Linked DNA regions of Arabidopsis thaliana. The protein of the gene in region 1 interacts with the protein of each later gene in a pairwise test. Each region holds a gene or a part of one and is shown in the gene's direction. Other genes may lie near its edges.

Region 1 (5,721 bases):
GTCACTGTTAGCGGCGGCGGGGTGAAGCAGCTGAACGATGAAATTAGGCCTAGCCCGCGTGACTGGAGGAGAGAATCCCGACGACGGAGCACGATCACGTCTGTAATTTGGCGGGAAATTAGTGTTATGGTACTGAGAGTGTTGCTGGTTCCAAGTAGTACAGTGGTTGAGCGGCGGAGAAGATTGTGCAGAGCGAGAGTTATAACGGTTCGTTGAGGATGAGGGAAACGACTGCTGACGACGATCAGTCGTCGATCTCCCACCGTCTGAAGGAGGAAAAGAGTTCCTCATGATGAGATGATGCCAGTTTTTTTTCTTGTTAAGAATGAGAGAGCGAAAGAGAAAGAGTCAGAAGTTGAAAAGAGTCACAGAAGAGTCAGAGAGTTATATCAATCAATATTAAAACCCTATTAAAATTTATTTAACTTTTCGTCTACTCTTTCCTTTTTCTTTAACCTAATTTAATTTTCTTCTAATCAATATTAAAACCCATTTTGTTACTATCAATTCTTTAATTATTGGTTCGACCTATAGAAACATCCAGAAATCCAAATTTGAGGATAAAAGTGTTAAAGTAACATTTCTTAGTATTTCAATTTTATGTTTTTACCACATTTTAAAATTTAAGTTAGAAATAGTGTATCTACCAATGATATTGCCATATACGTATTAAAATGTACATATCATCAAAAGTAAATATGAAATCTTAAAGGTATTAAATAGTTAACTCATATTCTTGTAAAGTTTAATATTTGTATACCATTTAGATTTTATTCAAAGCATTGAATTTTATTAATAATTAGTTAGTAGTTTCAAAAACTATTTTAAAATCCCTACAAAAAAAAAACTATTTTCAAATCCCTACAAAAAAAAATACTATTTCAAAATAAAAGAAAATAGAAAATATTGAAAGCAGAAAATATAGAAAGGTGTTAACAAAATTATATAAAAGAAAAAACAAACAGAAAGTGTTACATGTTTTATATAAAAAACAATTTGGTTAAAAATTTCAATAACCTCATATCATTTTTTCTCATCTGCTTAATTAATGATATTCAAATGAGTTATTTTCAAAAAATATTGCTTATATAAGTGATGATATGATGCGGTTCGCTACAAATTTTTCGTGCCAATAAAAATTTCATATATTTTTCTACATTTTTTGTCAACATCATATATTATTATTTCCTAATTTTATTAGAACTCTCGTCTTTAAAAAGTTTTAAAAGCGTCATTTATCGTTCTTTTATCTACAAAAAAAAACAAGATTTCATGAGTCAGACAAGACAAAAGCCATAAACAACACAAAAGTCCTGCAAGATTGCTCACTTGGGCGGTTGGGCCTATATGAAAATTTACTATCTCAAAATTTAACTAAGAGCCCATAAAAACTGTAAGATCTTTGCTTTAAATCACATTGTCTTCATAGATTTTGTGATTCATGGTAGATTTGTGAAGATCTTTGGTCATCTTTTTGTTTACATTTGGCTTATTGAGTGTAGAGTGTGAACAATCTGCTATGAAGTTGGTAAAATTCTTTGGATCCAAACCTTTAAATCGTAGCATATTTACTATTTCACACTGCTAGGATCTGTTTATAGCTGATGCATTACTGGAATCTATGATGTTTACTGTGTTGGTCTGATATATAACAAGTTCTGAATTTTAAAATCAAATTCAATATCGAATTGGGCTTTTAATTAAGGTTAGGCCCATCAAATGTTTTTGACTCTTTAATAATTCCCTCTCTTTTGTCTTTTATTGTAAAATGCACACAATTTCGAAGAAACTGCCAATGGAGTCTCCATTTTCCAGCGCCATGCCAAGCTTGACTCTACGATGATAGCTTATTTGACTGCTTCAAAAAAAAACTTCAGAGAATTAATTTCGAGAATTTTCCCAATTTCAGATCATCGGAAAATTCTTACTATAATCTTTCTTATATCGCTTCTCTCAGTTACTTCAACGTTCTGGTCAGTTTCGGATATAAATGTTTTAATTTCTTAGTTTCCGTTTCTTCTTCTTCTTCTTTTTTTTTTTTTTCTGTTACTGTAAACTTGGGGATAACGAATTAAAGCGATCAAATCGATGTTCTTATGATTCAGGATCCGTTATAGCAAAAAAAGCTTGACTCATGGCTTTTGGCCGCAACAATCGTGTAAGGTTGTTGTTTGCTTGCTTTCTTTAATCTCTGTCTTTTTTTTTTTTTAGAATGAATTTACTGAGAAACTATGGATATGAATGATTCTCAGAAAAAATATTCTTTTTTGTTGATGATTTTTTGTTTAGGTTCAGAGATTGGATTTCAGAGGGAACAGAGTATGGTTACGGAAGAAATAAAGCTAGACCATCTCTAAACACAGTTTTGAAGAATGTTCGTAGAGGACTTAAGAAACCTTTAAGTTTTGGTTCACATAATAAGAAGAGAGATTCTAATTCTAGTACCACTACACAGAAGAATATTATAAACCCACAAGGATCTTTTTTACAGAACTGGAACAAAATCTTTCTTTTTGCTTCAGTGATTGCTTTGGCTATTGATCCATTGTTTTTCTATATTCCTATTGTTGATGGAGAAAGACACTGTCTTAATTTGCATCGTAACTTGGAGATAGCAGCTAGTGTGCTTCGCACGTTTATAGATGCTTTCTACATCATTCACATTGTGTTTCAGTTTAGAACTGCTTATATCTCTCCTTCTTCTCGTGTTTTCGGAAGAGGCGAGTTGGTTGATGATCCTAAAGCTATAGCCATCAAGTACCTCTCCTCCTACTTCATCATCGATCTTCTTTCTATCCTTCCACTCCCACAGGTAACCTTTAGTTCCTAATGGTTTTATAGTTCCTTCTTGATGGTTCTTTAATATTCTGTTGTATCTGCTGCAGCTTGTAGTCTTAGCTGTCATCCCCAATGTCAACAAGCCGGTCTCTTTGATCACTAAGGACTATTTGATAACTGTCATATTTACTCAATACATTCCAAGGATTCTTCGTATCTATCCACTTTACACTGAAGTTACAAGAACATCTGGCATAGTTACTGAAACCGCTTGGGCTGGAGCTGCTTGGAACCTATCTCTCTATATGTTAGCCAGTCATGTGTTTGGAGCCTTATGGTACTTAATATCAGTAGAACGAGAAGACAGATGCTGGCGTGAAGCTTGTGAGAAGATACCAGAAGTGTGTAACTTTAGATTTCTCTACTGCGATGGAAACAGTAGTGTTAGAAACGATTTCCTGACTACCTCGTGCCCGTTTATCAACCCTGATGATATAACAAATTCAACTGTCTTCAACTTTGGTATCTTTACTGATGCTTTAAAGAGTGGGATTGTTGAATCAGATGATTTCTGGAAGAAGTTCTTCTACTGCTTCTGGTGGGGTTTGCGTAATTTAAGGTTTGTAACACTCTCTCTATCTAGTTATTAGTAATTTAGGATTCATGTGACACACTTGATGGCTGGCTAAGATATGTTGAGCATGAAACACTAATCTGATCACTTGCTGTTTCTCACTCGCTGCAGTGCATTGGGACAAAATCTCAATACAAGCAAATTCGTTGGGGAAATCATATTTGCTGTATCAATTTGTATATCTGGACTAGTCTTATTCGCACTACTTATCGGCAATATGCAGGTATATATTCATTTCACTGCCTTTTTTCCATCACTTACTTGATCCCCAAGGAAGATAAAACACTACTGATGTTTCCACTTTCCATAACAGAAATACTTGGAATCAACTACAGTGAGGGAAGAGGAGATGAGAGTGAGAAAAAGAGATGCAGAGCAATGGATGTCTCATCGAATGTTACCCGATGACTTGAGGAAACGTATCAGAAGGTATGAGCAGTACAAATGGCAGGAAACTAGAGGAGTAGAAGAAGAAAACCTTCTGCGTAATCTCCCTAAAGACCTCAGGAGAGACATCAAACGCCATTTCTGCCTCGATCTTCTCAAGAAAGTAAGTGCTTCTAGTTCCACCTTATCTCTTTGATCCTCAAATTTGACATTTCATTCAAATAATCATTGATCGAATCAAATATATATAGGTACCTCTGTTCGAGATAATGGATGAGCAATTGCTAGATGCCGTGTGTGACAAGCTAAAACCAGTGCTCTACACCGAGAACAGCTATGCAATTCGAGAAGGAGATCCAGTGGAAGAGATGTTGTTTGTCATGAGAGGAAAACTGATGAGCGCCACCACAAACGGTGGCCGGACCGGCTTCTTTAACGCCGTATACCTAAAACCTAGTGACTTTTGCGGCGAAGATCTTCTCACATGGGCATTAGATCCTCAATCTTCGTCTCATTTTCCGATATCGACTAGAACAGTTCAAGCTTTAACCGAAGTAGAAGCCTTTGCTCTTGCAGCAGATGATCTCAAGCTTGTTGCTTCACAGTTCAGACGACTACATAGCAAACAGCTTCAACATACTTTCAGGTTTGTTTGGTCTCTTTTGACTGATCTCTCTGCTTCTCCAATCTCCGGTTCTGTTTGGTTTAATTCGGTTTAACTGTCAGGTTTTATTCGGTTCAATGGAGAACTTGGGGTGCGTCTTTCATACAAGCGGCGTGGCGGAGACATTGCCGGAGGAAACTAGCTAGATCATTAACCGAAGAAGAAGATCGATTCCGAAACGCGATCACAAAACGCGAACGCAATGCGGCGTCTTCGTCTAGCCTGGTTGCAACGTTATACGCGTCGCGGTTTGCTTCAAACGCGCTTCGCAATCTGCGTACAAACAACCTACCTTTGCTACCTCCTAAACCCTCCGAGCCTGATTTCAGTCTCCGAAACCCTTAAAATATCTCTTACACATGTCCACTTACCACTTGTATATAATATTGTGTCAACGACATTAAAGCTTAAACTAATTACAAAAATTTAGTGACCCTATTTTATAGGCACGATGCTCCAATGGTCACTTTTAAAATAGAGTTTCCTCAAAAATAGGAAAAAAATAGAGACTAAATGTAGAGATCTTTATTTATAGAGATGATATCTCCTCTATTTTAAAGAAAATTCTATTTTACATGTGACCATTGGAGCAGCCTCTAAAATAGAGTCATATCTATAAATAAAGGAAAATATAGAGATCACTATTGAAGATACCTTTATAAAAATAAAACATGGTTATATATATGAATTTGATAACTTTAGGTAACCTTAATTTTTTTTTTAGTTTTAAAAGCTTTGGAGTAAATATAACAAATTTATTTAAAAATTGTTTTTTCATGTGTGTGTTTTGACCAAAAAAAAACAAATAACATGTTTAACCAATAACATACAATTTATCATGTTATTTTATCTAAGAGTAATTTTTCCATATATATATATTTATTATAAGATTCAATTGTAGATAATTTTTACTTAATAATACATCATTTACCATATCATATATAGATATTAGTTTGGTCAAATTGTACAAAAAAAATCGATTTCTCCTGACCGACATAGATTCAGACAATATAAAGCCCAGTCATAAACCCAAAAGTGTGGATAAGATAATAATCTTAGCCCAACAAGCAGCGAGAGAGAGAGAGACTTATTATTAGGGCTCCGTCAAATTTCCCCAATTTCTCTCTGATTCCTCTCTAGAAATCGAACTTCTTCTTCTTCGTCCAAGCTTTTGAATCGAAAATCGATGGCGGATCAGAGTTCTAAGCCGTTGCAGTTTTTCGTGAGACTACTCGACGGAAAATCATTAACCCTAAGT
Region 2 (4,568 bases), on another chromosome or scaffold:
TCATTGCTGGGCTGTAATACGTAGGACCTGAGATCCAAGAACTGGATACTCCACGCTGGAACTCACGGAAACCTCCAGTTGAAGAGGACTGACCACCGCTTGCATCAAGAGCTTTTCTTTTACAGGATGCACGACGTCCATCAACAGAGGAACCAGCTCTAACACTGTTATCTAGTAAAAACTCAGACCTAAGTCCATTAACCTCAAAATGACCAGGATGAACTGTAACCGGATTCATATCCTCAAGATGCTCATTGTATTCTGCATTTAGATTGACATCACGAACCACGCGGCTTCCATTAGATGGTTGCACAAACAAAGGGCTCAACTCAAGCTTATCATTCCTCTGTTCCTCAAACCTTCCAATTCCCTTCCATTGTTCAGTGAGACTTGCCCCTTCGTTCTTCGTCCCACTAGAGCTAGCCTCACCAATGTTAAACCTCTGCAAGCCCCGTTTCTCATGATAAACTGAGTTTGCAAAAGTAGGATTTGTATCAGCAGCTGAACTCATGTAATCCTGCAAATCATTATCACCATAATTGTGAAGATTCTCCCAACGAATTTGCTGATCTACCACAGCGTTACTAGACGTAGAACCGCGCTCAAAGTTCAAAGCCTTTGATAAAGAACCAAGACTAGCCCTCTCTCCCTGCATCCTATCGTTAACCACAGTTGACACTTGACAAATCAAGAGACTCTCACCACTTTTCACAATCTAGCAAATCCTGGAAACTAAAATAAAAAAAAAGAAAAGAGTTACCTTCACATTGAAATACATAAGGAGTTATCTTTCAGCCAAAGAAAAATACAATACAGCAATTCAAGATATGCAAGCAAAAGTATAATATACAATGCCTAATCTTAAGACCAAAAACTCAACTGCATTACAATCTTTATACTTAATTAATCAGCTACAAAAGCTACATTATCAATTTGACACATGAACATCAAAATCAAGCAACCTATAACAATCCACATAGCTACAACAAGAATAGCATCAGTAAATAAGATAAAGATCAAACCTTTAGCAAACTCTCAAGTCAAAAACTAACACTGCAACATGAGGAACAATAACATATTCGTATCAACAAACCACCAATACAAACACCATAGTGAAACCATAAAGCAATAACCTTTTGCCAAAGAAACACCAAACAAGTTCGTTCCTAAAAACAGAGATATCCATTCAAATATCACAACCCATGCTAAAATCTATTTCAAAAACTCAATTTTTAGTCACGAGAGATTGTATTGAATATTACGATGAACAAAACACAGAAAGCTAATAATAACCCACCAATCGCTTGAAGAAACCAATCGATCTGAGAAAGTTATGGTTGAGAAAGCAAAGAAACGCTCTTATGGGTAGATTCTTTCGTCAAAGACAATGAGAGAAGAAACCGATTGCAGAGAAAAGAGGTAAAAGGCAAAAATAATGAAGAAGAAGAGAATTGAGGAAAGCGAAAGCAAAGCACACAAACCAAATGAGAATAGAATCCGGAGAGAAGATTATTATTATTATTACATATATATAGGTTAGGTTCAAATTCACATTTATCAAGACAGTATATTTTTCAAAAATATTAGAAAAGATGGAAACTTTTCTAAGAAAAAGTCAAATAAAAAAAGTGCAGTTACCAAAAGACAAATTTGAATACATATTTAGCTAATAAAGAGGTAAAGAATCACAATATTGGAAAATATAGTAATAGATGTGTATATATATAGTTCTATTTTTTTTGTAATAAAATGTGAATTGGTAAAATGGGAAGAAATAAGACAAAAAGCAAGTTGGCAAAATTAAAAACTGAGAAGTGAGAAGTTGTCTTTGTCTATTGTCTCACGTCCCAACCAAACGCACGCGGCTTTCTTTTCTTAAATTTTAAAGTTGATGAAACCGAATCCAAAGAAGTTAATTGTGAAAGGACGTTAGACAATTCAAACCCGCCTTATATACATTCTTAAGAAGCCCACGGAACGGCGTTTTATACATTTTTAAGAAGCCCACGAAAAGCCCAAATTTGAAAACTTCAATGGGTTTTATCCTGAAAATTCCGATTGGATTCTCCGATTGATTCCATGATGAAGGCTTCTTTCAAGGGAAAGTTCGATGTCGACAAGAGCGGTAGCGTTGCTTCGCTTACCTTCAACGCCGGCAATGCTAAGCTACGAGCCACCATGACTGATGCTTCCTTCGTCGCCGGTCCTAGCTTTAATGGTCTCTCTCTCGCCGTTGAGAAGCCTGGCTTCTTCATCATCGACTACAACGTCCCTAAAAAGGTTACTCCTTTTTTCTTAGTTTCAAGTTTTTGAAGTTAACCCTTTTAGCTTCAAACCTATAAGGAATGAGAAATGGATGAAATTGTATGGAGTCTCTGAGAAAGTTAAGAGTTTTTGGAGATTAAACTAGGTTAGGAGTGTAAATTGAAGTATAAAGTTTCGATTTTTATGCTACAGAATGTTAGTTTACACAAGGTTCTATTTTTGTATGGATTCTATGAAAAATGAGTGAAATTTAAGTAGAAATTTTCGGTTTTTCTGCTGCAGGATGTTACACAAGGTTCTATTTGAATGGATTCTTTGCAAATGAATGAAATTGAAGTAAAAAGTTTCGGTTTTTATGCTGCAGGATGTTAGGTTTCAGTTTATGAACACTATCAGAATTGCAGAGAAGCCTTTGAATCTGACTTACATTCATATGAGAGGAGATAACCGGACGATTGTTGACGGGAGTTTTGTGATTGATCCAGCAAACAAGTTGTCTGCTAATTACATGGTGGGTACAAAGAATTGTAAGCTGAAGTATACTTATGTTCATGGAGGGATAGCTACATTTGAGCCTTGTTATGACGTGGCTAAGAATATGTGGGACTTTGCGATTTCTCATAAACTTTATGGTGGTGATAATCTCAAGGCAACTTATCAGACTTCTAGTAAGATGCTTGGTTTGGAATGGTCGAACAACTCTAAATCAACTGGATCTTTCAAGGTAAATACTATTTTCACTTCTCTGTTTTTGTTCATAGCACTACTTCTTTTGGCAGGAGTAGATTGAATTTTACATATATCACTATCCCAACAGTTGACACTAGATACTCTTATATACTGTTATCTTAGCATTTCTTCTTACGGTCCTGTCTCTTCTCAAAATTTGTTCTTTAAAACAAGCATATATGTGCATGTAGGTATGAGACTATATTGCTCTTCTTGTAATGACATTTAGTTCTATCAAGTAGGTTAAAAATTCTTAACCCAGCCATGTTGTTTATCTATTGTTGCTTACTAAGAATTTAAGAAAGACTGAAGCTTAAGCGGTGATATAAACTTGGTATGAATGATGCAAATCTCCTAATGGCATGGGTGTGATCTTTATTAATGCATAAAAGATGCATGGTGATCTTGAGAGAGTGTTAACAAGAGACTTGAATTACAATCCTCTGGTTAGGGATTAAGTTCCTCTTACTTGGTTCTGGTGGTTGGGTTGAATAATTTGTTGTACCATCGACCAGGTTTTCTTATAGGTTAGTTTGGGTTGAACATGTTAATGTGTGAATGGGGAACTAGAACTTCTCTTGAATGCTGCAATCGATCTTTTAAACATTGTTTCATAAGCACTTAGCTAAAATTGGTTCTTTTTGCAGTCGTGGTTAATGAGTTTCTCTTACTGTTTCAACAGGTATGTGCATCAATGAATCTAGCTGAGGAATTGAAGCCGCCAAAACTGACCGCAGAAACTACATGGAACCTGGAACTTTAGCTCCCAAAAAGTCTCAATTCTTTCGGTTGTTTGATGTGGATTCAAAAGTCTTGACAGAGGAATCTAGAACATTTCTAGTCGTTTCCTTGTTTATCATTGTGAAGACTATAATGACCACAAAAATTGCTATTCTAGTATTAGTGAGTCCAATTAGTAGTAAAAGAATACCCAAAAATGTAGAGTTTGTCAACGAAGGTGTTTTTATTCAACATTTCGAGCTAATACTCACAAATACATGAAGAATTTGCATTTAGGATGGAATTATTTTCCCCAATCCATTTATGAACTTGGTTTAGTGAGAGAATAATAGTAGAATCAAAAGCAAAGTGAGTACACAAGCAGCAAAATTAGCTTCACGAGTATTACCCAACATTCAACATACTCTCTAGTCTCTACATTATGAATTAATTCCATGAGGTATTTGTTTGTTGGTTAACTCCAACAAACACTCTCAGCTTTCTAGCTTCAAAACAACTATGAACTTGACATCTAAGTATATACAACTCTTAGGTAAATAAAAAAAAACTTGGGAGAGACATTATGGCAATTAGGCGGGGCACATCAGGTTGGTACTTCAAGCACCAATCTACTACTGCTACATATAGGGTAAGCGAAAAGAGCGGCGACACCGACGGGCTCACAACATGTGCAACCATATCACATTCATCTACCAATCTGCATCACTGCAGAACCAAACGTGTATGCATATTTGGTTTACTTCTAGAAACTAAGTATAAATTGATTATTGCACAAAAAATATTGAATTCTTAGCCATATCATAGATAGCCTATAAGTTTCTTTCCAAGCTTTT
Region 3 (4,110 bases), on another chromosome or scaffold:
TCATAAAAAACAAATTGAGTTTTTAATATTCAATATAGTGACATAGTGTGTAACAAACTAATTAATAAAGATTATCTAGATGGTACGGGGATCGAGGAATATGTAAGAAAGATAACTTATCGCTACATTCAATTCATTTGATAACTTTCAAAAGCTGATGTTACTTGTTTCGTTCTTTTTGGTTGCCAAAATTTTGCTCTCTGCAATTTTAGTTTTTTTTCTAAAATATGAGTTTACGTTCCAAATAAGAAATGATCGACCTTGTTTTAAACCCCCAAAAATAAATAAAGATCAAGAGATTTTCATATCTTATGGTATTATTGGGTAATTGAAAGCAAAAAAAAAAAAATGAATTTTTGAATAAAGTTGATACAACTATTTCCAAAAGTAAAATTAATTTGATGAGTCGACCACATGGAATACACAAAAGACAAACTGCAATTATTTTTAGAAGAATGAGCTTTTTACAATGAACCGTACGATCTCATAGTCTCATTGACCTTTGGTTGATGTCAAATGTCAAACATTTGTCTCTCCATAAAGATATTCTTGTACTTAGATGACTCTATAACAAAAAAATAAAAAGAATAAGAAGATATTCTCGTAAATTAACAATATTTATATATAATGTATAAGTATAACCATTAAACAAAAAGATCAACAATATTTTCAAAATATTATAGTAAGCTGGAAACATCAATGCATTAGGTAAGACACATGCATGTTGTACATTAGCTACGGATGCGCAAAATGGACGCTAAGCCGGCGGTGAAAGAGACACGTTGTTCTTCTGCATTTTATTCCATTCGTACGTAATAGTTAATTCTATAAAGTTATATAATGTTTCGACTTGATAGAGATATGGTACAAGTAGTCAATGAAACGTATTTTCTAATTAAGTTAAGTTATAAACATTTTAATAGTAAATGGAGCACGTAATTTGCATTATGCAAAAACACACATATGCTTAGTTCTAATAGGATATTCTCTTTTCCGAATGAACTATTTTTGGAGCGGTGGACTTTTTTTTTTTATTAACCGATATTAATTAGATAAAATTTAGGAGAGCCATTCATAATAATGTTATTTATATATGTTATATGATGCAGTTCGGTATAGATTTTTCGTGTCAAATTGTCCGTTTTGATATTTGCACTACGAAAGATTAAAGATAAAGAAAAGCTAGTGAACTTTCTCTTATCGTTTCGTAATTTTTCTTCTGATCATTCGGTTATACGTGAACTTTCTCTTATCCTTCGTAATTTTTCTTCTGATAATTCGGTTAGAGAAAATATATACTATCTTCGACCCTCAACACAGTTTATTAACAAAATATATAAATAAATCAGGACTTTTTTTTTTTTTTTGCTATTGAAAACGTTTGCAAAAACCTACAAAGAGACTACATCTAAAATGTACAAGAGACTTTACATATTGATTGTTTTCTACCAATAAATTTCGTAATACTATTTCACCAAAAAAAAAATTAAAACAAAAAGCCATCGCTCATTTCATTTCACGTAGTATTATTCAACTCTTATTATTGGATCCACCTAACCGTACCCACCAAAAATCTCTATAAATACTATGCAACTCATCTTCTCCAACTTACACCAAAAACAGAAAACAACAAAGGCCACAAAGAAGAAGAAAACCTTCTTCAACGTTTAAAGTCTCTTCTCTCTCTCTCTCTTAACTTCTCCCATTTTCTTTGAACTAAAGATCAATGGCTCACAACCATTCTAATGAAGACGGCTCTATTGGAACCTCCTTGCATGGAGTCACGGCAAGGGAGCAAGTCTTCTCCTTCTCCGTCCAAGAAGATGTCCCTTCATCTCAAGCCGTCCGAACAAACGATCCAACGGCTAAGTTTGCCCTACCAGTGGACTCCGAACATAGGGCAAAAGTGTTCAAACCACTATCATTCGCTAAACCACATATGAGAGCCTTCCACTTAGGATGGATCTCTTTCTTCACTTGCTTCATCTCCACCTTCGCAGCCGCACCTCTAGTCCCCGTCATTCGCGACAATCTCGACCTGACCAAAACCGACATCGGAAATGCTGGAGTTGCATCAGTTTCCGGCGCCATTTTCTCGAGACTCGCTATGGGTGCTGTATGTGACCTTCTAGGGGCACGTTATGGAACCGCCTTCTCACTTATGCTTACAGCTCCAGCAGTTTTCTCCATGTCGTTCGTAGCTGACGCGGGAAGCTACTTAGCCGTAAGGTTCATGATCGGTTTTTGCTTAGCAACGTTCGTATCATGTCAGTACTGGACGAGTGTTATGTTCACTGGAAAGATTATCGGACTCGTTAACGGATGTGCTGGAGGGTGGGGAGATATGGGAGGAGGAGTGACTCAGCTACTAATGCCAATGGTCTTCCACGTCATCAAACTCACCGGAGCCACTCCCTTCACGGCTTGGAGGTTCGCCTTCTTCATCCCCGGCATTCTTCAGATAGTTATGGGTATTCTCGTTCTCACTCTCGGCCAAGATCTTCCCGATGGTAACCTCAGTACTCTCCAAAAGAGTGGTCAAGTTTCTAAAGACAAATTCTCCAAGGTAATATATTAAACATGATCAATATTTTTAGGACAATACTAGCAATAATGCATGTGGTTCTAATTACAATTTTGTTTTGTTTAATAGGTCTTTTGGTTCGCTGTGAAAAACTATAGAACATGGATCTTATTCATGCTCTATGGATTTTCTATGGGAGTTGAATTAACGATCAACAACGTTATATCTGGATACTTCTACGATAGGTTTAACCTTACGCTTCACACAGCTGGTATTATAGCAGCCAGCTTTGGTATGGCAAACTTCTTTGCCCGTCCTTTTGGTGGCTACGCTTCAGATGTAGCTGCACGGCTCTTCGGTATGAGGGGACGGTTATGGATCTTGTGGATCTTACAAACTGTTGGAGCTCTCTTTTGCATCTGGCTTGGTCGTGCTAGTTCACTACCTATAGCTATCTTAGCCATGATGCTTTTTTCCATGGGCACACAAGCTGCTTGTGGAGCTCTCTTTGGTGTTGCTCCTTTTGTTTCCCGCCGTTCTCTTGGACTTATCTCGGGATTAACTGGTGCTGGTGGAAATTTTGGGTCGGGAGTTACTCAACTTCTTTTCTTCTCTTCCTCGAGGTTTAGTACGGCGGAAGGACTATCGTTGATGGGCGTTATGGCTGTTGTGTGCTCTCTTCCGGTTGCGTTTATACATTTTCCGCAGTGGGGAAGCATGTTCTTGAGGCCATCACAAGATGGAGAGAAATCAAAGGAAGAGCATTACTATGGAGCGGAATGGACAGAGGAAGAGAAGAGCTTAGGACTACACGAAGGAAGCATTAAATTTGCTGAAAACAGCCGGTCAGAGAGAGGCCGCAAGGCGATGTTGGCTGATATTCCAACGCCGGAAACCGGATCTCCGGCTCATGTCTAGTGAAGGATAGTCACATTACATCTTTTTCCACATATAAATAACCCTCAAACTTAGCTTTATGTTTGCATGTTTTATGTTCCTCTTATGAGAGATGTACCGAGTAAGATCCTGACTTGATAAGTGAGGTTCAGTGAGCTCGGTGCTCATGATGTACAATGTCGTTTGATATAAGACTTATGCATCAGTTTTCTCTCTGTTTTATCAACAAGCCGTGTCTTTAAAAGTCTTCCAAGATCATATTATTGATTTAACAAAATCGATCAAATACTGAAAATGAGAAGAGTGTTTTGAGGCACAACTAGTCATACCTTAAGAAGAAGCAATTGACTTTAGTAATCTTTACGTCTCAGAAACAGATCACATTAAAGAATCTGGAAAGAGTAAGAAGCAACTTAACTAGTATGACAGGTGAAGATTGCAAATGTAAAACTTAAAGTTGTATGAAAGTTTTCAAACATTGCAGAATCTTTCATAAATGAAACAAAACAAGAAAGCTATGCTAAACCTTTGAATCGGTTTCTGAAGAAAAGAGTTTAACGTACTTGTAAACTCTGCGTAAGGAGCTAGATGCTTGTCTTTCCACTACCACCACATATCATACAAGATCTCGTGGAAGAACATTTAGTGCAATAGCTCCATTTCTTGGGAAGCCTAAGAATGTGTGTTTA

The links.
Region 2: the proteins of CNGC13 (region 1) and AT1G45170 interact in a protein complementation assay, tested with the Arabidopsis thaliana proteins (one large-scale study listed by BioGRID).
Region 3: the proteins of CNGC13 (region 1) and NRT2.6 interact in a protein complementation assay, tested with the Arabidopsis thaliana proteins (one large-scale study listed by BioGRID).

What each region holds. Positions count from the first base shown.
Region 1 is NC_003075.7:433,656-439,376, reverse strand, and holds CNGC13 (cyclic nucleotide-gated channel 13), read left to right. Parts: upstream 1-1,785; 5' UTR 1,786-1,973; exon of another isoform or gene 1,974-2,105; 5' UTR 2,106-2,134; coding exon 2,135-2,163; intron 2,164-2,289; coding exon 2,290-2,812; intron 2,813-2,885; coding exon 2,886-3,397; intron 3,398-3,523; coding exon 3,524-3,635; intron 3,636-3,725; coding exon 3,726-3,962; intron 3,963-4,050; coding exon 4,051-4,445; intron 4,446-4,525; coding exon 4,526-4,808; 3' UTR 4,809-5,160; downstream 5,161-5,721. Other genes in the region: AT4G01020 (helicase domain-containing protein / IBR domain-containing protein / zinc finger protein-like protein), read right to left, coding at 1-291; AT4G01000 (Ubiquitin-like superfamily protein), read left to right, coding at 5,650-5,721. UniProt on the Arabidopsis thaliana protein: Putative cyclic nucleotide-gated ion channel.
Region 2 is NC_003070.9:17,095,422-17,099,989, reverse strand, and holds AT1G45170 (outer envelope pore 24B-like protein), read left to right. Parts: upstream 1-1,948; 5' UTR 1,949-2,079; coding exon 2,080-2,280; intron 2,281-2,629; coding exon 2,630-2,989; intron 2,990-3,676; coding exon 3,677-3,757; 3' UTR 3,758-4,010; downstream 4,011-4,568. Other genes in the region: AT1G45180 (RING/U-box superfamily protein), read right to left, coding at 1-655.
Region 3 is NC_003074.8:16,477,003-16,481,112, reverse strand, and holds NRT2.6 (high affinity nitrate transporter 2.6), read left to right. Parts: upstream 1-1,553; 5' UTR 1,554-1,726; coding exon 1,727-2,566; intron 2,567-2,653; coding exon 2,654-3,442; 3' UTR 3,443-3,552; downstream 3,553-4,110. Other genes in the region: AT3G45050 (uncharacterized protein), read right to left, coding at 4,006-4,093. UniProt on the Arabidopsis thaliana protein: Involved in high-affinity nitrate transport. Required for the nitrate uptake-independent plant growth promotion and lateral root response to the rhizospheric Phyllobacterium.